5 linked regions of the Oryctolagus cuniculus genome follow. The protein of the gene in region 4 interacts with the protein of the main gene of each other region in a pairwise test. Links are inferred from orthologs where the notes say so. Each region holds a gene or a part of one and is shown on either strand. Other genes may lie near its edges. The genes, in order: CCDC33, TRAF3IP3, ABT1, EMD and TRIM42.

The links.
Region 1: the proteins of EMD (region 4) and CCDC33 interact in binary tests that used the Homo sapiens proteins (3 or more experiments, as listed by UniProt). The two-hybrid records come from large-scale screens. The link is inferred for Oryctolagus cuniculus from reciprocal best matches to the Homo sapiens genes EMD and CCDC33.
Region 2: the proteins of EMD (region 4) and TRAF3IP3 interact in binary tests that used the Homo sapiens proteins (3 or more experiments, as listed by UniProt). The two-hybrid records come from large-scale screens. The link is inferred for Oryctolagus cuniculus from reciprocal best matches to the Homo sapiens genes EMD and TRAF3IP3.
Region 3: the proteins of EMD (region 4) and ABT1 interact in binary tests that used the Homo sapiens proteins (3 or more experiments, as listed by UniProt). The two-hybrid records come from large-scale screens. The link is inferred for Oryctolagus cuniculus from reciprocal best matches to the Homo sapiens genes EMD and ABT1.
Region 5: the proteins of EMD (region 4) and TRIM42 interact in binary tests that used the Homo sapiens proteins (3 or more experiments, as listed by UniProt). The two-hybrid records come from large-scale screens. The link is inferred for Oryctolagus cuniculus from reciprocal best matches to the Homo sapiens genes EMD and TRIM42.

The regions. Positions count from the first base shown.
Region 1 is NC_091443.1:109,318,777-109,322,652, forward strand, and holds part of CCDC33 (coiled-coil domain-containing protein 33), read right to left. Parts: intron 1,152-3,876; coding exon 986-1,151; intron 777-985; coding exon 688-776; intron 594-687; coding exon 462-593; intron 376-461; coding exon 294-375; intron 1-293.
Region 2 is NC_091444.1:24,609,385-24,613,260, reverse strand, and holds part of TRAF3IP3 (TRAF3-interacting JNK-activating modulator), read right to left. Parts: intron 3,121-3,876; 5' UTR 3,061-3,120; coding exon 2,716-3,060; intron 806-2,715; coding exon 658-805; intron 516-657; coding exon 452-515; intron 206-451; coding exon 181-205; intron 1-180. UniProt on the Homo sapiens protein: Adapter protein that plays essential roles in both innate and adaptive immunity. Plays a crucial role in the regulation of thymocyte development.
Region 3 is NC_091436.1:153,680,294-153,684,814, reverse strand, and holds ABT1 (activator of basal transcription 1), read right to left. Parts: upstream 2,989-4,521; 5' UTR 2,715-2,988; coding exon 2,474-2,714; intron 1,716-2,473; coding exon 1,513-1,715; intron 1,428-1,512; coding exon 1,047-1,427; 3' UTR 615-1,046; downstream 1-614.
Region 4 is NC_091453.1:132,604,178-132,608,529, reverse strand, and holds EMD (emerin), read right to left. Parts: upstream 3,027-4,352; coding exon 2,945-3,026; intron 2,791-2,944; coding exon 2,683-2,790; intron 2,540-2,682; coding exon 2,462-2,539; intron 2,250-2,461; coding exon 2,116-2,249; intron 1,201-2,115; coding exon 1,154-1,200; intron 1,075-1,153; coding exon 753-1,074; downstream 1-752. UniProt on the Homo sapiens protein: Stabilizes and promotes the formation of a nuclear actin cortical network. Stimulates actin polymerization in vitro by binding and stabilizing the pointed end of growing filaments. Inhibits beta-catenin activity by preventing its accumulation in the nucleus.
Region 5 is NC_091435.1:141,104,995-141,109,451, reverse strand, and holds the start of TRIM42 (tripartite motif-containing protein 42), read left to right. Parts: upstream 1-1,392; 5' UTR 1,393-1,581; coding exon 1,582-1,922; intron 1,923-4,457.

The sequences.
Region 1 (3,876 bases), on a different chromosome or scaffold from region 4:
AGGAGCCACCGATTTCATCAGGTGTTTGCTCTGTAGCGCAGAATCCTTAAAGGCACAGGGAGCTGGCGGCCGGGTTCCGGGGGTCCTGCTGGGGAAACTCCTGACCCCTGCCCTGCCTGTGTCCTAGGGTGCGGAGGAGCCGCAGGACGCCAGGGGCCCCGGACGCGTCCAGGGCCTTACTGGGCAGGGGAGCAGGCCACGCTGGGTCCCGCAGGTGCAACTCAGCCACGGTCCTGCGGTTGGAAGGCAAGGACCGGGGCGGGGGGTGAGTGCCAGGGACCCCCACCACTCACTCGCGCTGGGCTTCTCCTGCAGCCTGCTCGGCGCGGGGGCCTCGCTCCAGTCCCGCAGCATCCGCTCCATCTTCTGGATCACCTGCGGGCAGAGCACCGAGGCCGCGTTGGCCAGGGCTGTCCCCGGGCCGGCGCGGGGCGGGCCCCCGGCGGGCAGCCGGCACCTGCCTTCTCCTGGTGCCGCACGGTGTCTTCCAGCGCGCGCATCTGCTGCAGCTTGTCCTGGTAGCGCTTCAGCAGCGCGGCCTGCGGCGGCTGCGCCTGGTGCGAGAGCAGTAGCTCCTTCTCCCGGTCGTTCTTCTGCGGGTGCAGAAGAGAGACGCGTGGGTGCCCGGGAGCCAGCCTTGGCCCCGGGGTCCTCCCTGGCGGGGCCCCCGTCTCCGTCCCCGCTCACTCGAATCAGCTCGTTCTGCAGGTGCTGCACCTTGTCCCGCAGCTGGTTCACGTCCAGCTCTGCCAGCAGCAGCCTCTCCTTCATGGAGCCTGTTGGGGGCACAGGGGGTGGCTCAGGGAGGTGGGGGGGGGGTCTCTCCCTGCTGAGTCAGCAAAGTCAGGGCCAGGAGGGCAGCGTGGACTCTGTCTTTCCCAGCAGCAGGGGCCGTGGGAGCGTCTGCGGGTGTGGGCGGAGCTCCTGCCCTCCCCTCCCACGTCTCCGTGCCTCAGCCCCCCCCCCCCCCACCGGGTGAGCTCACCCAGGTTCTGCAACTCCTGGGCCTCGGCCTGCGCCTCCTCGGCCTCCCGCCGGGCCAGCCGGCTCCGCAGCCTGCGGTTCTCGCCGTCCAGGACGCTGGCCTGCTTCCGCAGCGACAGGATGTCCTCTGCCATCTTCTGCATGGCTCGCCTGTAGTTGTTCATCTCCTGGGAACCCCGGAGCCCAGGGCTGAGCCCCTGCACCACGGCTGCCCCCCGCCCGCATCGCCACCTCCACCTGGAAGTCCCGCGGGTCACCCCAAGCCCTAGGCTGTGCCTCCCAGGCTCAGTCCTCACCCCTGCTGGCCACCATGAGGCCGGCTGCTCTGATACGCTCTCACGCCCCCGACACCAGTTCTGGGCAGCAGGCCTCAGCATGGGCTACAGAGCCTGGGGAGATGCTGGACTGGCCGAATCACCACCATGTCCTGTCCTCGTCCCTCGTCCCTGACCCCTGGAGCCCAGGGGAGCCCCTGGCTGAAGCTGTTCAGCTGGCCCAGAGTGCAGAGGGGACACGGAGTATGCCTGGGGGAGACCCCGAGAAGGGCGCGGTGTTGAGGTCGGGACCCAGTGGTGAGGGGAGCGTGCCAGGGCAGGGAGCCAGACCCGGTCGCCAGGTTAGAGACGGCCCTCGTCCACCCTCCTGGTGGAGGACACCCCCTGAGAGTTTACCCCCTCTAAGTGGTATTTTTCGGTTTTATTTATTAGAGAGAGAGGAGAATTCCCACCCACTGGCTCACTCCCCCAAGGTCCAGAACAAGCAGGGCCAGGCCAGGCTGAAGCCAGGAGCCGGGAGCTCCATCCGGGTCTCCCAGGTGGGCAGCACTGGAGCTGTCACCTGCAACCTTCCAGGGTGCCCGTCAGCAGGAATGGGGGCAGGGCTGGGACTTGAACCCAGGCCCTGTGATACAGGGCATGGGCGTCCCGGGCAGGGTCTGAACCGCCACACCACACGTCCACTCCTCTCCGTGCTCAGGACAAGCCTGGGAGGGCAGATCTTGTCACCCCCCATTTTTCTGACGAGGGAAGCAGGGGCCGGAGAGGTGAGCGGTCTGCTCGGTGCCAGCACCAAGGCCTGGGGCAGCGGGGCCGGCGGGCGCCGTCTGGGCTCTGGTGCTCCGGGGGACCTCCACGGCGCAAACGCCAGCCTGGCTGCCCCCGGAGAGCCACGCCTCCCCAGGGGCTGGGAGGGAGGGACCTTGGCCAGGCGCCCCCTCCCCCCCACCGTGGGCCCCCAGCAGGACCTTGGGCCGAGCAGCTGGGCCGGGAGGCCGTAGCCTGCGGGCAGCAGCCCTGACCTCTCCCCACAGGGCCACGCTGTGCGTCACGGCCCAGTCTTGGACACCATGGCCCCAGATTCCTCCGCGCTCCTGGGCCCTCGGCCGCTGCTCCTGTTGGGGCGGGGCCAGGTTTCACTTGGGGGATCGGCGGGGACCCCTCACAGCCCGGGTGAGTCTCGCCCCAGCCACGCTGAGAGCCTGGGGCACCCTGCAGACGACAAAGACGCAACTGTGGCTGGGGAGGCAGGCAGGGGGCGACTGTGGGACGCGGCGAGGAGGCTCACGTCTGCGGCGAGGTGGGGGTGTGTGGCTGGGGAGGGTCCACCCCCTGGCCCCCAGCGATGGATTCATGGGAGTTTGCTTTTCCCACAGTCGGTTCCCGTTCCTGTCGGTGGGTCGCCTTTTGCAGTTTATATGGTAAAAGGACTGAGCGCAATAGTTTCCAGTCTATAGAGACAGCCTCCAGGCCAGGGTGGAGAAGGGATGTGTGGGGGCTGGGGACGGAGGGGTATGTAGGGGAGGCGTGGGCATGAGCAGGGGCAGGGGTGGGGAGGGTTCTCCCAGGGGAGGGAAGGGGGCTAGGGGCAGGTGCAGACAAGGTGCCCACCTGAGGCAGGTGGGAGGCCCTGCAGGGGCTGCAGTAGGAGCATAGGGAGGGGCGGGGCCGGGCCGGGCACACCCTTCTCTCCTCCTTGGCCCTTCCCTGGGTGGCCACTCAACCTCAGAGTCCCCCCGGGGGTCCCCAGGGTCTGGCCCTGGCAGGCCAGGCCATCTGAATGTAGTTTGCCTTTTCCACCAGCAGGGGGCAGCAGTGTTGCGCAGACGCTCAGGCCACCCCCCACACCATGAAGCAGGAGCTAGGAAGGGTGTGTGCAGGGAGTCTTAGACTCATCCCCGAGCCCGGCACACATGGCCCTGCTCCAAGTGGTCCAGCTGCCTGCCCAGACCTGCTGTGCCCAGCTCTTCCCGTCTCAGAGACTCCGGTGGGCTGGCCACCTGTTCAGGGTCGCACAGAGAATCCGGATCTCAGCTGGGTCCTGTCCTGGGCAGGCGATGGGACTGAGTGGGGACAAGACCCAGCCTGAAGCTGCCCCAGCTCTTCCCACCGGCACAGCAGCGGCACCTGAGGCTCACCCACGTGCAGGGCAGTTGAGAGGGGCTTAGGAGCAGCTTGGGACGCATTTGATCACGCATGTGCACATGCACGCACACGCATGTACACGCCAGCCTAAACCACGCAGCATCCCCCTCTCACCCAGGACAGACCACGGGTGCTCAGCCCGGGGGGGGTCCTCACAAGGCCCTGTCTGCACCTCTCTGTCTAGTTGGAACTTGGGGTTTGAGGGGGAAGAGTCCAGCCCCGGTTTTCTGAGGGCGAGGTGGGGCCAGGTGCAGCGAGGGCTGCGTGATTTGGCCAAGGTCTCGTCCTCATACGGGGCAGAGCTGCCCTGGGATTTGGTTCTCTGGGGGCTGTTGGGAGTATGCGCCCCTCCCCCCGAGGCTCAGGGTGACGGTGCTGGAAGGGTCTGAGCTGGCCGAGATTCTGGGTCAGAGCAGAAACGTGCGGGCCCTGGCCTGGCCATCTGAGCCCTACAGCTTCCTCCTCCAGGAAG
Region 2 (3,876 bases), on a different chromosome or scaffold from region 4:
CAGAAGTGGAGCAGCCGGGACTTGAACTGGCACCCGTATGGGATGCTGGCACTGCAGGCAGCGGCTTTACCCGCTATGCCACAGCACAGGCCCGTCCCCCTTCATCTTGGCCTGAGTTTATCGTGGAATTCCAGAATTTTGTATCTTAGAGAAACCCCTTCAAAGTGGCAATTTTCTTACCTTATCCAGAACTGCCACTCCATAACTGGGAAGAGAAGAAGAAAAGTCAGTGGACATTAAGCAAATCAGGAGGCAGCAGGTGGATTCTTTCTGGGATCCCTTCTGAACAGCCCTTGGGGTGGGGAAGGGCTTCTTTCTTCCTGATTAAAGTGGCATGGAAAGTCACTGTGCTCCCTCTACATGCTGGGTAGAGGTGTTCAAGTGGGAGCCTAGGAGACAGGGATGGATGGGCTGTGTAGGTGTTAGGGGCAGGACTGTGAAAGGAACTCACTTGGTTTGCTGACTGGCATCGTTTTTCAGTGTCGGCTGTGGTTCTTCTGCCTTGGTCTGAGTGCCTGGGAGAAGGAGGATAAGGTGACTCAGATGCCATGGAGAGGGTATGAGGGAGAGGAGGAGGGACAGGGACTCTCCACAGCCAGTGAGCTGGAACTGTGGATTCCCTGTAGATCCAGTCATGCCAAGGAGCACTGCCCTTACCACGGTGATGTTTGGGCAGCTTCCTGATGGAAGGGTCCTGTGGTGGGAGGCCCCCTGCCAGGGGGGAGGGCTGGTCAGCTAGACCCCTCTGGACGTCTGCGGGAGGGTGCTGCTGGCCTGGAAGGCTCTTAGAGCTGGTCTCTGCCACCTGGAAAGCAAGTAGGGGATGCTGAGAACCACTCCCCAGAGCCTCAAGGAAGCAGATTCTCCAGATGATTGGAGAGATCACATCTGCTGTGGCCCGAGTGCTTGTGTGGAGCCCTGGGGAATGGTCAGGTCAAAGTGGAGCCCTCATGATGGTTCCAGCACCCTTTCATGAGCAGAGACACGAGACGGTGTGCCTCCCTGTCTGCTCTCTGCCCTGTGAGGATGCGATGAGAAGGCCATCACTAGCCCAGGAAGAATGTCCTCACACACTGACTGCCAGAGCCGCTAGCCTGGACTTCCAGCCTCTCAGACTTGTGAGAAATAAGTTTCTCTTGTTAAGGCCTCCCAGTCCCTGCTGACTGGGGACAGCAGTGCAAGTGCCCAGGACAGCAGTTCAGCTCCAGGAGCCCACTCGAGCCTTCCAGGCCACAAGGTTTCCGCTGCGTCTGCTTGCCAGGTCCTGCCTGGCAGCTGGATTTGCCTCTAACAATTCACTCCAGAATCCTTGCCTATACTGTTTGGTCCCAGCCAATTACTCACCCAGGGTGGCAAGGTGGAAAAAGAATTGAGTGGCAGTGGGTAAGGGGCTCTGGGTTTTAGATCCTGCTTTTGTGGTGTCAGTCTCCTGCCTGTGCAGTGGGGAGTTTGGGACAGATGACTCGCAGGGTGCTTGCTTTATTCTAGAGCTAGCTTCCTTCCTCTCTGCTGGAGAATCTCTGAGATTTTGTGCGAAGAGAAGGTAAAGTAGGAAGCTGAGGAGAGGGGGTGGTGGTCGTGGCCACAGCTTGGTTTGCTCTTTCTATCTTGTGTTCTTGCTAACACAGGAAGTCTGTGCTGGTGACATCCCCGTAGTACCTAATCCCGCGGACAGAGATTCAGTCTCAGTAAAACCTCACATGACTGATAGGTGGACGTGGAACTCTGGAGTTCTTAATGAGTTGTAGTTGCTCTACTTTTCTTTCTGGATTTCTTTTCTTCCAACAAAACGCATGCAGAAGTCGTTCTGCCTTAGGAAGCATAGAGTTGGTTTCCTTTTGCTGTTGAGCCGCAGGATCTTTTCTTTGAACAGCCCTCCCGTTACGCAGAGCAGAGCCCCAGGAAAGAAGCCCCGATGGAGCTGCTACTCAGAGTACGGCACAGGGCCAGGTGTTTCCAGGGAATACAGCAGACCCATCCGTACTGTCAGTGTGCTCACAGCATTGGTGGGCAGACACAGATGGCTTGCTGGCTGAGGTCGGATCATCTCCACATACCCTGGCGTTTGCCAACACTGCTGCTTCCCAGGCCAGACCAACGAGCTCTCTAAGCGTTACACAATCTTAGAAGATTTATAACCCCACAACCCACAGAGAGCAAGAGTGGCCTGGAGAGGCCAGGGAAGGCTTCTTGGACCAGATTGAGGCCTTAACTAAGTGAATTTGGTAGAACTGGAATGGCCAAGGGAAAGCGAGAGGGTGAGCAGATGCAACAGACTTGCAGAAGAATAGAGGACCAGGTGTGTGTGTCTGTGTCCGCATGTGTGTTGGGAGAGGGGACATAAAGAGGGTTGGCCTGTCCTTGGCATATAAGGATTCAGTAAATATTGCATGAATGATGGGTGGGTGAATGCTGTAAAATAGCTTAGCAGATACTATAGATTGCCTAAATTTGAACTGACACTAGGTATTGCAATGGGATTGTTCATAATTTTTTTTCTCCCAGAAGGTAAGTGCAAAAAAAAAAAAAAAAAAAAAAGAGCTAAACAAATAAAGGAAAACACTAGAACAAAAATCCCTGTGTGACTAAATAGCTGGCAAGTGGAGACTTTCGTATTTGACCAAAGAATAAGAGATTTAGTAGAACCATTTTTTCGTGACCTTGAGCCCACCCTCCCTCCACCTTGGGAGCAGTGCGTCCCTGGACATGGCCCACCTGCTGTCCAGGGGAGGAGATCCTGTTGGCACAAGACAAGGACCCATTGAGGGTAGCGGCCTGGCGTGTCCTCCTGGAAGGGCCTTGCTCCTTGGCCCCGGGAGGCCGTGCCTGGCCTCGCTCCTCCACCTCCAGCTTCCTCCTCTGGAAGAACTGCCGTTGTCGAGCTCGCTGGAGCTGCTCTCTCTGCTGGGTCCTCATTGCCTTTCCCACCTGGCGGCAAGTGGTCATGTTGGGGCGACAGCGGCGGCTCTCACGGGTCTCCTGCCGGCGCTCATACTTGGCCTCGTAGCTCTCAGCCCACCGGGCCAAGCCGGGGGAGGGCCTGGGGTCTGGCCTGATCATGATGACCTCCCGAGCACCTGTTGCACTTGGCTTCCACTTCCTTGCATAACCGCCTGGACCCTGCCAAATGCCAAGAGGGAGGTGTCAAAAGACAGGAAGAAAGATGACCATCTCCCTGGTCTAGTGGGCAGAAATAGCACAGCGTTCCATCCACATGTGTCGAGCACTGAGGACGTGAGAGTATCCAGCTTGGAGCCTGCACTCCTGGGCTTAGTCTCTGGCAAACTAATAAAATCTAAGAAAAGCGAATTCCTGATTTTCTCTAACCTGCGTCAACCCTCTGTGAAGTGCTCGGGTCTCTCTGGATACCACTGCTTCTTCTAAGGCATGAGAAATAATTGACAAAATTAGAATGATCTCATTCTGCAGCACGTGTGTTCATTTTGAAGCCTGCCAAGGATACAGCTAAGTTGACCCTGTTCCCCTTAATCTCCCAAACCTAGAAGGGGAGTCAGCATTTTTACTGCTCTCTTGGCCTACTTTGTTACTAAAATAGTCAAGTGACACTTGAGACCCGGAGGGAAAACCGATCCTCCTCAGGAAGTGACGAGGCCTGGGACCAGCAACCACTGCTGTCTTCCCGGCCCTTAGCAACCAGCTTGTGCTCCTAGTCTGCTGGGTCCTCTGTCGTCCCGGCATGGGTCCATTGGCACCCATTTCACTCTCAGGGCTGGGTTCTGGTTCGCATGTGCAAATCAGATCAAATCAGCATTGGTCAAGCCCCTGCCACACGTCCAGTCCAGGATGAAACCCACTTCCGTGCATCTGGCTCTCTCGCTTGGGAAGCTGAGGGTTGCATATTTCTAGAATCACCTC
Region 3 (4,521 bases), on a different chromosome or scaffold from region 4:
AAGATTATTTCTGGCCAAAGCCAGAAACTCTATCCTACTCTCGTACGTGGAGAGTAAGAACCCAAGCATGTGGGCCACCTGCTGCTGTTGCTTTCTCAGGCACATTAACAGGGAGATGGATCAGAAGCAGCTGGGACTCAAACTGACACTCTGATGTAGGATGCTGGTGTTGCAAAAGGCAGCTTAACCTGCTATGTCACAACTCCAGCCCCTAGGCTTGCCTTGAAGGGTTGTGTGTGGAATAAACCTTGCTACAGCTCTGCCCAGACCACCTGCCATCCTGGTCTGGAATGCAGTGTGTAAGTTCCCTTAATAAACTCTTGTATTCCTATATGGCGCTTCCCAATTCAATTTTTCAGTCTCAGGATTCCTGCTCAGTTTGGGAGACATGACATACTCTGCCATGACAAATTCTGCCTACCAGACACTCAGAGAAAGGCGGGGAGGAGGTGGGGTTCAGGTAGAATGGAGGCTGAGAACAGGAGATGAAGCAAAATGAACAGATGGAATACAAGAAAAACTTCTAACTTGTTCAATGGGCTCCATCCCCCGAATCTAAAAGTATGTAGAAACAGTCATATTCTTCCTTTTCTGTAAAAAAATTTCAAAGATGGTTTCCATCCCAGTCCCACTTTATTAGCTGCTCTACTTGCTTTCAATTAAGAAACAAAGATGCTGCTGCCCCCTCACCTATGGATGGTAAACACAACCTGACTCCCTAACAAGCCGTTCCTCTGATTAGCAATAAAGGGCCTTTCTGGGACCGGCAAGTGGGAGTTTTAGGGAAACCCAGCGAGACAGCCAGCCAAAAGTCAAGCAGAGGAAAACCAACTCCTACAGTAGTCATATCCACACCACAGGAATTAGGCATTTCAGCCAAACACGTACAGGAGTCGGGAGGAAGGAGAAAGGAAGCCTGAAACACTTGCGTTTCTGGGTCCTCACCAGGGAAACACAATAAAATGTTTGCCTGTGTGGTCAGTCTCCCTAGTGTGAGGTAGAACGAGAAAGGCAGAGCCGGGGGCCGGAAGGGGTCTCCCATTCCCTCAGGAGTCCCTGACCCGAGAAGGTCCCTCTGTGTTCTCCGAGGGGGGCGCAGCTCCGAAGATCTTGGCAAGGAGCCCTCGGTTGGAGCGCGCCTGGTCCTGGACTGCAGCCAAGCGAGCCCGCTCACGCCCTCCTGGCCGCGCTGCCTTCCGGGCCCTCAGCTCCTGCTCAGTGGGCCGCTGGGCAAATGCCCAGGAGCCATCTGGTCGGGTAGGGTCCCCATCAGCAGCAAGGAAGCGCTGTCCTCGCTCCACACTTCGAAGATAGAAGTCAGTCTCCCGCTTGGCTTGGGCAACCTCTGCTCTCAGGCGCTGCCTCCGTACTTGGCGCTCAAAGGCAAGGTGTTCACTGAGGTGGGACCAGGTGAACCGGTGCAGGTACTGTGGGCAGGAAGAAAAGGAGAGATCAAGGAGAAGAACTGGGAGACAGACAGGCGGACAGCTTGGCACGTGGGCCAATCCTCACCTTGAGATTCCACAGGTCATAACGGAACGGGCTGCGCTTGCGGGCACCCATGGGCGTGTTGTGCAGACTGGCCGCCACGCGCTTGGCTATGCGCTTGTCCCGAAACTCTACCCAGCCTTCGGTGTAGTCTTTGCTGTACTTCGACCGCTTTTTTCCTCCTGTGGCCGCTGCTGCTGCTTTTTTCTTGCGTCTCACGAACCGATCTGCGTACCAAAGACAGAGCTGAGCTCGGGACTCGGCACCCCAGACGCGCCTCCCACTGGCCGCGCCATTCTCTTAGCTCGCCTACGGGGTACCCCCTCACAGTCTCTGGAAAGAATGAACTGTGAGATACACTCTGCCTCACACACCCTTTCCTTTATCTAGATCAACACTTCCTCAAATGTCACTCCTTAGGTCTGCCCTGCACGCTACCAAAAACTTGTACAGGGGCCGGCACTGTGGCGCAGTGGATTGAACCCCTGGCCTGCAGTGCAGACATCCCATATGGGTGCAGGTTCGAGTCCCGGCTGCTCCACTTCCGATCCAGCTCCCTGGATTCAGGGAACCAGCTCCCTGGATCGTGTGCCTCGGAGGGCAGTGGAGGATGGCCCAAGTCCTTGGGCCCCTACACCCATGTGGGAGACCCGGAGGAAGCGCCTGGCTTCAGATCAGCTCAGCTCCGGCCACTGCAGCCATTTGGGGAGTGAACCAGTAGATGGAAGGCCTCTCTCTGTCTCTCTTTAACTCTTTCAAGTGGCTAAAATAGGAAAGTTCCTGATGTTTTTATTCCAACTGCACTATCGCTCAGCGCATCAGTAGGCACAGAAGTAGGCGCACACGAGATCGGAACCCAAAGGCCGCAAGCCCAGAACTAAGGGGCCAGTAGGCCCGCCCCCCGCCCCGCCCGCTCAGAGATCCCATTCCTACGATGCACCAGGCCAGCGCCTCGAGAGTTCACAGAGCGCGCCCGCGCTCCTACCTTCCGCCTGAAAGAACACGCGTCCGACCTCTCCGTAGGCGCTCAAGAGGTTGCGCACGTGCAAGGGACGGAAGCGCGGCGGGACGTGGCCCAAGTATACAATTCCCGGCACCACCCGCTTCTTCTTGCTGCGGCCCGTTTCTGTGGATTCCTCCTGGTCCTCTTCCTCCTCTAGTTCCTGCTCCGTCCCTTCTGGCGGATCTGGTTCCGTGGCTGCCTTCTCCGACTCCTCCACCTCCATGCTGACAGAGACAGGGAGCACGACAGCCGTAAAGCGCCGTGGCGATTACGCACTCGTCGTGCGACGACGTGCTACGAGGGGCGGGACTGGGGCGGTGACTACGCAATGAGCGACAGCTTGCCGCGAAGGGCAGGGCGAGGAGATGACAACAATGAAAAGACTGAGGGACGGAAGCTGGCCCAAGAGGGCGGATTTGAGGGTGTCAGGTCAGAAGTGAGAGTTGAGCTGGGGGAAGGATGAAAAATCGGGAGAGCGGAAGTGACGCCTCTCCAGAGGTGGGGTGACGGAACCGGAACCGGAAATAACGTTACGAGAACGACGTAACACGCCCGGTTGAACGCCCTGAAGAGGCGCGGGCGAGTGAGGCAGGGCTCCGGGAAGTTCGCGGGGCAGTATTTGCCGAGTTTCTTTGTGCCCTAACGATCGAAATAACATTTTATACAAAGAACCCGGATATGGTGTCGGTGACGGATAACTCATCTTTGTAAACTTCGATTTTCAATGTAAAACTAAGAGTTTTGAAGTCTCACATGACAGTATTGAATGTTTTGAATGTTTGAAAATGTGGTTTAACGTTGCAGATGTTTAGATTTACTTTCGAAATTTTAGACAGTTTAACGACTTTAAATTTGATTTTGTGAATGTCTGAAGTAAGTGTGCGTGCGAATTATTTGAAGAACTTGGCTTGTTCCTTATGTGTGTGTGATAGTCCATGTGTGCGTTTCTGTCACACGTATTCGTCAGGTCACCCAGGCCAGCCCGGTGCGGTTCAGCCCTCCTGTCCCAGGTCCTACCCGGCGGCCCCGGCGCGACCGCGCTTCCCGACACCCAGACCCGGGCAGGGCCCCCGGGGCGCCCCCAGGACGCGCCCTGACGACGCGTGCTCGGTGGGAGCAGAGTGACGCCCAAAGGCGCCTTTCAGTTTTTCGTCAATGCGCGACGCCCTTGATGGGGGCCCCAACACTAGTTTTGCATCCCGACTTGAGCCCAGAGGGACAGAGCGGGGGCAAACACGTCCCCACTTAAAAGGCCCCAGCTCCCTTCCAGAGATCCTGTGCATTTCTCGCTTCGCCGCCTGCACGTGCGTTCATTTTAAGGGAGGCAGCTCTTCCCCCGTCCTGTGTGTGTGTGTGCGGGGGTGTTGGTGGCAGTGCGTGGATGCGGTTCCCTCCTCATCCTTTAACACTGCCCTGAGAACAGCGCTGGGCGCCAGATCGCTTCCTGGCTGTGCAGAAAGATCCCGGGCGGGGCGGGCGCGTGCCGGGAGCAGACGGTGCCTTTAAAAAAAAACTCCGAATGCACGCAGGCGCTAGGTGATGAGAGGCGCAGCGCTGCTTAAAGTCTCTTCAGTACTCACCAGGATAGCACAGAGCCCCAAAGGCCAGCCCTAAACCTCTGGTGAAAATTGGGAGCGAACTCCCTTTGCGCTTCGCGTAGCACACGCGTCTTCGCAGCTGAACCCGGTGGGCCGGGGGCTCCGGGTATACTCGGGGAGCGGGAGAGGCGTGCCGTGTTTCTGTGGGGCATATTTTATACACGTAAATAATAAAGGTCTGCGAGTTTGAGCGATAAGCATCCAAGCATCCTCGTTACTGCTGCTCTGTCTTTGTGGTTCAAAACTGTTGTCCTTCGAGCCGGATTCGAACCAGCGACCTAAGGATGGCTGATTTCACGCCACTACAGTCCTCCGCTCTACCAACTGAGCTATCGAAGGACACGTGAGGGTGGCGCTTACAACACCTGAGATAATGGATGGCCTGATGGTTTTTAGTTTTGTATTCACGCGCGCTTCGGAAAATAGGGCCAA
Region 4 (4,352 bases):
GCTTGTTTACGTTCTATCCTAATGCCCTTGGAAGCTGAAGTTCGTTTCAACCTTTCCTGATGGGAGCGCTTGCAAACCACACTGTGCCTGCAGCCTCACCTGCATTTCCAGGTGGGTTCTCCAGACCCCTTGCTGTTATCACAGTTCTTTTCTTAAGTAGTTACCAGTGCTTTGGGGAGTCAGGGAATAAACCCCCAAACAACACATGAACCTAGTCAGCGGTAGCATTTGATTCCTATGCCAAGACCAAAGCAAAACCACAGAATCAATAAAGCCAGGTGACAATCCTTAAAAAACCTTAAGACCCAGAGACCCCAAAGCATGGCAGCCAGCCTCTCCCCCAGCAGGAAGAGCCAACACATTAAAAATAAACGGTCTTTATTGCGTCCACGAAAACAAAGTCGAGGTGGCCCTTGGTTAACCTCAAAAAGGTGACAACGAACAGGAGGCATGCATGAGCACATGACAACATCTCTGAAGGAGTGAAGTCTTGCCCTCCCAGGCCCTAAGGGTCAGAGGCAAGCAGGGCCAGGAGGCTCCAGAGGAAGGCACGCCCAGGCCTACCAGAACGTGAAGGGCCCGAGTCTGCTGCCTCCCTGGTGGGAGCAGGCAGGGGGAGCAAGCACTGCTCAGGGCTAGGCCCAGCCCCCAAAGCTAGAACACACAGAAAAGCCCCCACCCCCACCCCCAGCACACACTGCACTAAGGCAGACAGCCAGGACTTCAAAGAGCTGGCTCTGAAATCAAGACCCTCAGGGATCCATCCAGAAGGGGTTGCCTTCCTCTGCCTGCAAGGAATAGTAAACAAAGAGCAGGAAGGCAGCAAAGACCAGGAAAAGCAGCAGCTGGCCCCAGAGTGGGACCTGGCGGTCCTGACCCAGACCAGCTGCAGGGGCCTGCTTTTCTGGTCGGATGGCACGGCGGGCGAGCCATGATGGAGAAGGCGAAGAGGCCACAGAAGAGGAGGATGCAGGGTAATAGGACAGGCCCAAGGAACTCCTGGAGACGTTGGAAACAGGGCGGTAGTGTGCGATGCTCTGGTAGGCACTGTCACGGCCATATGTGGAGCGTTCCCTAATGCAAAAGAGGGGAGCAGGTGAGCCAGGAGAGCTAGGCCCAGAATCACTGCTCCCAGGGCCTTCCCACTACTCACCTGTCCTTGTCCTCCTCTTCAGAAGAGAAAAGATGGTCACTGCGCACCTGCAGACCAGAATCGAGGTGACGGGACTGGCCAGCAGGGTCAGCACAGCCTGTCGTATTACTCAGCCCACTCTAACCATTGCTTAAAGGCCAGACAGGGCAGGCATTGTGGCGTGGCAGGTTTGGTTGCCAGTTAGGGTGCCCATATCCCATACGGAGTGCCAGTTCAAGTTTTGGCTGGTTTGCTTCTGGTCCCCTGCTACCCCTGTGGAAAACCTAGATGGAGTTCTGGGCTCCTGGCTTTGCCATGGCCCCCATCCTGGGCATTTAGGACATTAACCAGGGGATGGAAGACCTCACTTTCTCTTTTTGTCTTCCTGTTGCTCTGGTTTCAAGCAGATGAAAATAAACATTTTTTTTTTTAAGATTCTACTTATTTATTTGAAAGGCAGAGTTAGAGAGGGAGAGATCTTCCACCTGTTGGTTAACTCCCCAAATGGCCACAATGGCCAGGGCTGAGCCAGGCTGAAGCCAGGAGCCTGGAATTCCATCCAGGTCTCCCATGGGAGTGGCAGGAGCCCAAGTACTCACACCATCCCCCACTGCTTTCCCAGGCACAGTAGCAGGGAGCTGGATCAGAAGTGGAGCAGCCAGGACTCCAACCTGGATGCACATGGGATGCTGGCACTGCAGGCGGTAGCTTAACCTGCTGTGCCACAGCACTGACCCCAGAACCCTCTTTTCTCCCCCTGGATTCTGAGTTGGAACTTCAGATCCTGACCAGGGTGCAGGCCACATCCTGTGTGCTCTAGTCAAATACTCTTGACACGCCCCGTAGCAAAGTCCTAACTCATCCTAACTCTCTCTGGAAACCTAGGAGCTAGCATTTGTACCCAGTGATGCTGGGATTTACCCAAACCCAGCTGTCATCCCTTCAAGCTGCCCCCGGATATGAGGTGCCCGACGGCAGCTCACCTGGTGGTGGGAGGTGTCAGCATCAGAAAGCGAAGTCCCGGGTTGCCGGAAGCCTTTGGATGTGCCCACAGACTCGGGCTCCCCGTAAGTCCTGGTGCTCAAGTAACTCTCCTCGTAGTAGTCATCATTATAGCCTTGAAAAAGGGAGCACTGGTAGCAGAGGGCAGACCCGTGTTCCCCAGCTGCTCCAGGGACCCTTATTTAAACAGCGTTTTTGGGGCCCCTCTCAGGTCGCTGAGGCTGGTGGGGAGTCGAGGCCTCAGGTTTTCCCTACGCCCACGGTCCGGGACAGGGTGGGTGAAGGTGTTGGGGTGATGGTGTTAAGGGTGTCAATTCCTTGCCTTACCCTTGCTCTGGTAAAGTAAGGCGTCCTCTTTCTTGGGCAGGTCGTACTTATCCGAGTCCACAGATGCCGAATCCAAGTCTGAATTGAGGGGGGGGACGAGACCATTTTCCCCCAGGCTTCCCTCCCTTCTTCGCAGTGCCTCTCTCGGCTAGCAACCCACCCCCCACGCCACACCCTCGAAATCCCACCCTCCCTGTCACCACCGGCAGCCAGCTGCTCACCCGAGAACCGATAGGAGAACGAGGAAGCAGACGAGTTGGGTGGGGAGAGCCTCCGCCTCTGGGTCTCGTACTCGAAGATTTTCTTTTCGTAGAGCTTGCGAGTGGAGCCTGACCAGACAGCGGGCGCGGGGCGGTCAGGGTCGTGGGCTGCGAGCCCAGGGAGGGAATCTGGGTAGGGGACGCAGGCGGGGGGTACCGGGGGGCTGCGAGACGGCGCGCGGGAGAGCGAGTCCCGGGAGGCGTCCCGCCCGCTCCCGCGTACCCACGACTGGCCCGTGCGGAATGTTGTACTGGCGCAGCACGGCGGCCAGCTCGGTGTCCGACAGGACCGCGTAGTCGTCCATCGCGGGCGCGGCCGGCAGGTGGCGAAGGGCTGGGGGCAGCCCGGGCCTGGCGACACAGGCCAAGCAACACCACTGCCTCGCAGGGCTCGGGAGCGGCCGCGCTTGCGTCACGTCTGCGTCACGCTCCCGTCATGGCCGCGGGCTCCGCAGGCTGCGCGCGCTGCGCGGGGCGGAGCCAAACCACAAGGAGGAGCCGGCACGGACCGGTCTAGCTGTGGGAGCGGGCGGGGCGGGCCTGGCGAGCTCGTATTTCAAAAACGTGCGAGATTGGTTTGTGGCGGAAGAGGGGCGGGGCCTGTGTGGGAGCCAAAGTGGCTCAGACTACTCAGGCCGTGGGAGTGGGCGGGGCTGCACGCTCGAGAAAAGGGGCTGGACGGGCACGCCAAGACGTCACACGCAGGCGCTTCTGAGCTAGACTCGCGGGAGGGGCGGAGCCTATGCGACCCGAACCGGTAGAAACCGGCCAGAACGTGGGAGCTAGGGAGCCGGCGGCGTGGGTGTCTTTGCGGTGGTTCGGGCCGGTTGACTCTTGCCACATCCCTGCGCCTGCACTCGTCGTCCCCCTTTTCCCGGGATCCCAGGCCGAGGGTTCTCCCGCAGCAGCGGGAAGGAGCCACCCTTTGCACAGCGCCGCTCTCGGGCCAGCCACTGCTGTCTACGCTTTGGGTGCGCTACGCGGACCCCCTGGCCCAGGCCGGCCTCGCTGACCTGCACCGGCCCTCGCCTGCGCACCTGCGCCCATCGGTTCCCATCGCCTCCCTCCCTCCTTCCCTTGCTCCTCCCGCCCTCCACCCGGGAGGAAATGGGGCACTGGGCCAGGAGGACGCGGGCACTCCTGGAGCAAACAGCCTTCGAAGGGGCCCGGCGGGCCGTTCCAGCGGGCACGGGCAGAGCGCGCTTCGGAGAGGGAGTGTGCCCTCCCAGCCCACCCTACTGTCAACCCGGGGTACTGGGTGGAAGGGAAGGGGGCTCCAGTCGGAATGGCCCTGAGCCCAGTGACCAGGAGGGGGCCGGGCAGGGGCAGAGGAGCCTGGTGAGCCGTGAGAGACTGCCAAGGCTTGCTCAGGTTCCTGTACTGTGGCTGGGTTGGCAAGGGTCTTAATCAGAAGAGGGCTGTCCCCTTGGGGAGTCGAAAGGAAGTGACAGAAGTGGGTGCATGAAGAGATGAGGTGCCGTCCTGGCCTCACAGATGTTAGCTGGTGACAAGAAAGTGCGAGGGCTCTGATCAGCTCCAGGCTGAAGGGCCCAAACTGGTGATGGTCACAGGCCAGTTCTCTGAGGAAGATTGCTCACACAGAATGGGGACAGACAGACCAGGGAAGAATG
Region 5 (4,457 bases), on a different chromosome or scaffold from region 4:
TACTTCTCAAGGATAGACAGGAGCCGCTAGGGAATGAGGAGTGGCTGACTGCCCTTGAGTGTCTTTTGGGGTGATGAAAATGTTTTGGAATTAGGTCTTGGTGACAGCTGCACAGTTTTATGATTATACTGAAAACTATTCAATTGTTCATGGTAAATTTAATGGTAAGTGAATTGTAATGTCAATAACAATTTCTAAAAAGAGGGGACTTCACAGAGACCAGTAATGAAAATATACCATGAACCCAAGAATGGCATTTGGACCTCTGGGCCTGGAGCCTAGGGAGAAAGGCAGATAAAATTGAGTTTGAGCAAATGTGTGGGAAAGATGTCTCTCATCCATTACTGGTGTCAGTATGAACTGGCACATTTATTTGAGTAGGCAATTTAGTGGCATCTATCAAAAAAGATAAAGCACATACCCTATGATCCAGCCCTCTCATTTCTAGAAACTTAAAATCGGTGTGTGGCTGGCACCATTAGCACTCAGTAAACGTTCTTTCCTATTATGAAGACGATCATCATGGGGAGAGATCATGGATTATGCAATCGGCTCGAGCAGCCAAACTCAGCCTTCAGTTCTTTTTGGAAAAGTAATACTGCAGCCTTCATACCGTCATGCGGCGTGGTCATGAACACTTTGCTCTTTTAACCTTTGCAAGCTGCATCAAGTGGAAACGAAATTCACCCCATTAGGGTCTTGTTTCCAGGTATCTGGAGCACACTGCTAGCACAAAAGTATAAAGCTCATGTAGCATTATAACTTCTTGATTAACAGGACCTAGAGGACTGATAGTAGGGTGGGGGAAAGGAAGTAAAGCCTAAGACTTGGTCAAACCCCTTGAAGCTGCAGAATTGGCAAAAAACATTCGGAGGTTTCTGCGAAGCCTCATGAAACAGACCAGTCATTATGCAGTGATGGGCAAGAGCAATGACTTTCAAAAGAAGCTCCTGAAGGAAGCGGTGTCTTCTGCTCCTTTAGTTCTTTCCACAAATGGTGACACCTCCTTCCGTGCTGTCCTCCTTGTTGCTATTTGTAAACACTGTAAGGAGTTCTATCATGCAGGAAAAACCCAGGAGAGGAAAATTATGTCCATCTACTTTTCCAATTAGTCATGCCAGGCTTCTCAGTCTGGGAAGACATTCCCTGAAATCAGCTTGCCCAAACTACGGGCAAACACCAAGCAAGAAGAAATAGCTTCTGAAATCTACCCCACAACCAGGAAGGGGACCAAGGACAGCTCCCCTGGAGCTGGTCCGACGGAGGCATGAGGGGAGTATCCATCAACTCACCTGCTAACCACTCCAGGCTTCACCTGCCAGCTCCACAGCGTGGTGAGACACTGCAAGGACCCAGTGATTGTGACATCAGCAAATGGCCTCATGCACGTGCTAACCCATGAGCTTCCTGGCAGGGACACCACTGGTGAGAGCCTCCTAACAGCCAACTTCTTGCAACTCTCAGGCTGACGGCCTCACTGGGTTGGGGGAGGAGGGACACCTCCACTGAGAACTGGCAGCAGGATTCTGGTAGAGGAGACACCAAGAGCCACGGTGGGGACGTGGTAATCATGTAGGGGCCATGGAGACTGCTATGTGCGTTTGCTCGCCATGTTGTACATGGCAAAGATGTTGTCCTCAGCTATGCTCCTGTCTGTGCTGCAAGTTCATCTTCACCTCGGAGAGGAACTGCACCTGCTTCCCCTGCCCATACAAGGATGAGCGGAACTGCCAGTTCTGCCACTGCACCTGCTCCGATAACCCCAACTGCCACTGGTGCTGCTGCTCCTGGGCCAATGATCCCAACTGCAAATGCTGCTGCACGACCAGCAGCAATCTCAAGTGCTACTACTATGAGAGCCGCTGCTGTCGCAATGCCACCATCACCTTCCGCAAGGGCCGTCTCAAGAGCATCCGCACCTCGTAAGTGAAAACTGGGAACTCAGTGCCAGCTGGGGGCCCACAGGGTGGGCTGGTAACCCCTGGGTTCATTTCTCTCTGTGGGAAAAGGAAGCCAGGAATTTTGTAGCAATTGAGTATATCCTCATATACTAACCATGTAGCAATTAAGTATATCCTAGTATACTAACCAGTATAGACTCTAACTTCCAAATTGAAAATCCATAAGGTGTGAATGCTTACAGCACTCTTCTGAACCACAACTCTCTCATGGGTGCAAAGTACTCAGAGCCAATACTCAGTGCTTAAGCAACTTGCCAGGCACTGCATGGGAGACCCTGGGGAACCCTCCTCTCCCTGAGCCCACTGGACCCAGCAACAGAGCCTTTGAGAGGTGAAGCCACCTGGGTTGACACAGCTAGCATGATGCAGAGTCAGGATTTGAACCCAGAAGCCATTATTTTAAATTTCAAGTGTTGTGTTGCAAAATGGAGAGGCCCTGTGAGGACTGATGTGAAATTCATGGACAGTAGAGTTCAGACATAAGTTGATTTGGGTGCAAAGTTGTTCATGATCCGCATTTTCCATGAATTTGTTGAGGGCTCTTTGCATGTGCTTTGTAACCTGATAGGTGACATAAAAATATAAATCGCTCTTCCCCCTGCTACTGTGAACTCTTGATATATGCAATGTTTCTTGGAAAAGTAAGAATTTCCAAGGACCAGTTTTGAGCCTGATGACCTGTATTCACCTGAGTGCCCCAGACACATCTGAACTCCCGTTGGCCTCCTCGACTTTCCCATGGAGAAGTCATGGTGCTTTGGGCCTCCAGGTGCTCACTGGGGGCATTAGTCATCCCCACTAAGCACTGTATAACCTCTTCCTACTCTACCGAGTCAGTCTTCTTCTGTCCCTGTGAGAGGAGCCTGGTAAGGACAGACTTACTCAGCACTGTGAGATGAGTGGACTAGGAGAGGCTGAACAATAGGAAGCAAGTCTGAAGGCCTTCAAGGCTGCATCAGCAATTCTACCAACAAAGGTTTGGTGGACTCAGGGCAAGAATGTAAGATCCATCTTGAGATTAGGTGCTTGGTAGGGGCGTAGGAAACATGAGTTTCCGTGCACGGCCCTCTCTGGTGCTTGCGGGAATCCAGGGACTCTAGTGGCAAGTCCAGAGGTTCCAAGGTGTGGAAAGCAGTGGCCACACCCCTCTCTCTGGACACGCCCGTTCTCCAAGCACCAGCCACGGAGAGCCACAGAGCCCATTCCAGGAGGGATGAAACTGCTGCTTTGGGAAAGTGGCTTTGGCATCAGTGGTTCCCAAATTTCTATGCATTTGCAATCATGCAGGGATCTTTAAAAATACCTAAGCCTGGTCCACTGCCTCCCCAAAACTCTGAATGTTATTGGCCTGGGGTACCACCTGGGCATCAGAATTGTATAAGGCCCATCCTGTTCAGGTGATTCCAATGTGCAGAATGGCCTGCGGGAGCAGGAAGGGAAGCTAGGAGACTTGCCAGGAGAGACAGTGAGAATCCAGGGGCAAGGGGACCAGGCCTGAACTGGGGAGAGTGAGGAGAAAGGACCAGAGGCAGATAGTTTAGCAGGAAGACCAGGCTGCTGGGCCTGGCAGCTGGGCATGGATCCCTGGCTACTGAACACCTTGTCCACACCTGAGGCTTCTGCAGGCTGGGCAGGGATGCACTTGACAGCTTCAGGAGGCATTGTGCCTGTCTTCTCCCTGGCCCCTCCCCTGGGTCCTGAAGCCCTGCCTCCCTGCTGCTCATCACCGCCTCCTGCTGAGCAGTTACAGCCACTCACCTCTCTCTGCTCTCGCCTGTCCCGCTCAGCCATACTCATTTCCTCACCTCCATTCCTACCGCTGCCACAGCTCCCTAGGCCATTGACACCTGTCTCTGAACCCTGTGCTCATTCTCTCTCCCTTCCCCCCCACCTCCCTCCATCTCCCTGATTTCTTTGGCTGACACCTGTCATAGTACGCCCTGGTTCTCAGAGTCCCATTTTTTTTAAATCAAACTCAAGAAGTCCATCCAGCCTCCATGTGTTATCCTTTACCACTCTTGATGACTCCAGGCAGGAGGCTAGGATGGCACAGTGGAACCAGCTGAGAACATCAAGGCTGGTGGGCTACAGCCCAGCATCCAAACCCTGAGAGGTGGGCCTTCCAGGCACCCGAGGGTGACTCCATCCCTGTGTGCCCAGGAGGCCCCTCTGAGAGCCTGGACTCTGAGGCCCAGGACCCCACCCAAGGGAGTGGGGATGGAGACAGGGCCATGCTCCTACAGGGAAAGCAGAAAGTCAAAAGCAGATGGAAACAGCCTCGAGGTCAGGACCAACATCCGAACATTCCTAATGCGAGCAGAGGAGAACAGACAGGAAAGAGCCACAGATTTCGTGCCTGCTTGCAGCTCCGTTCCCACAGCCGAGTCACTGATTTTCATAAACTGCTTTATTGTAACGTCTCAGAACTTGAATTGGATAAGCATGTGTTCATTTCAAACCCGCACTTCTTTCAATGAAATATTTGAAATCAGCCTC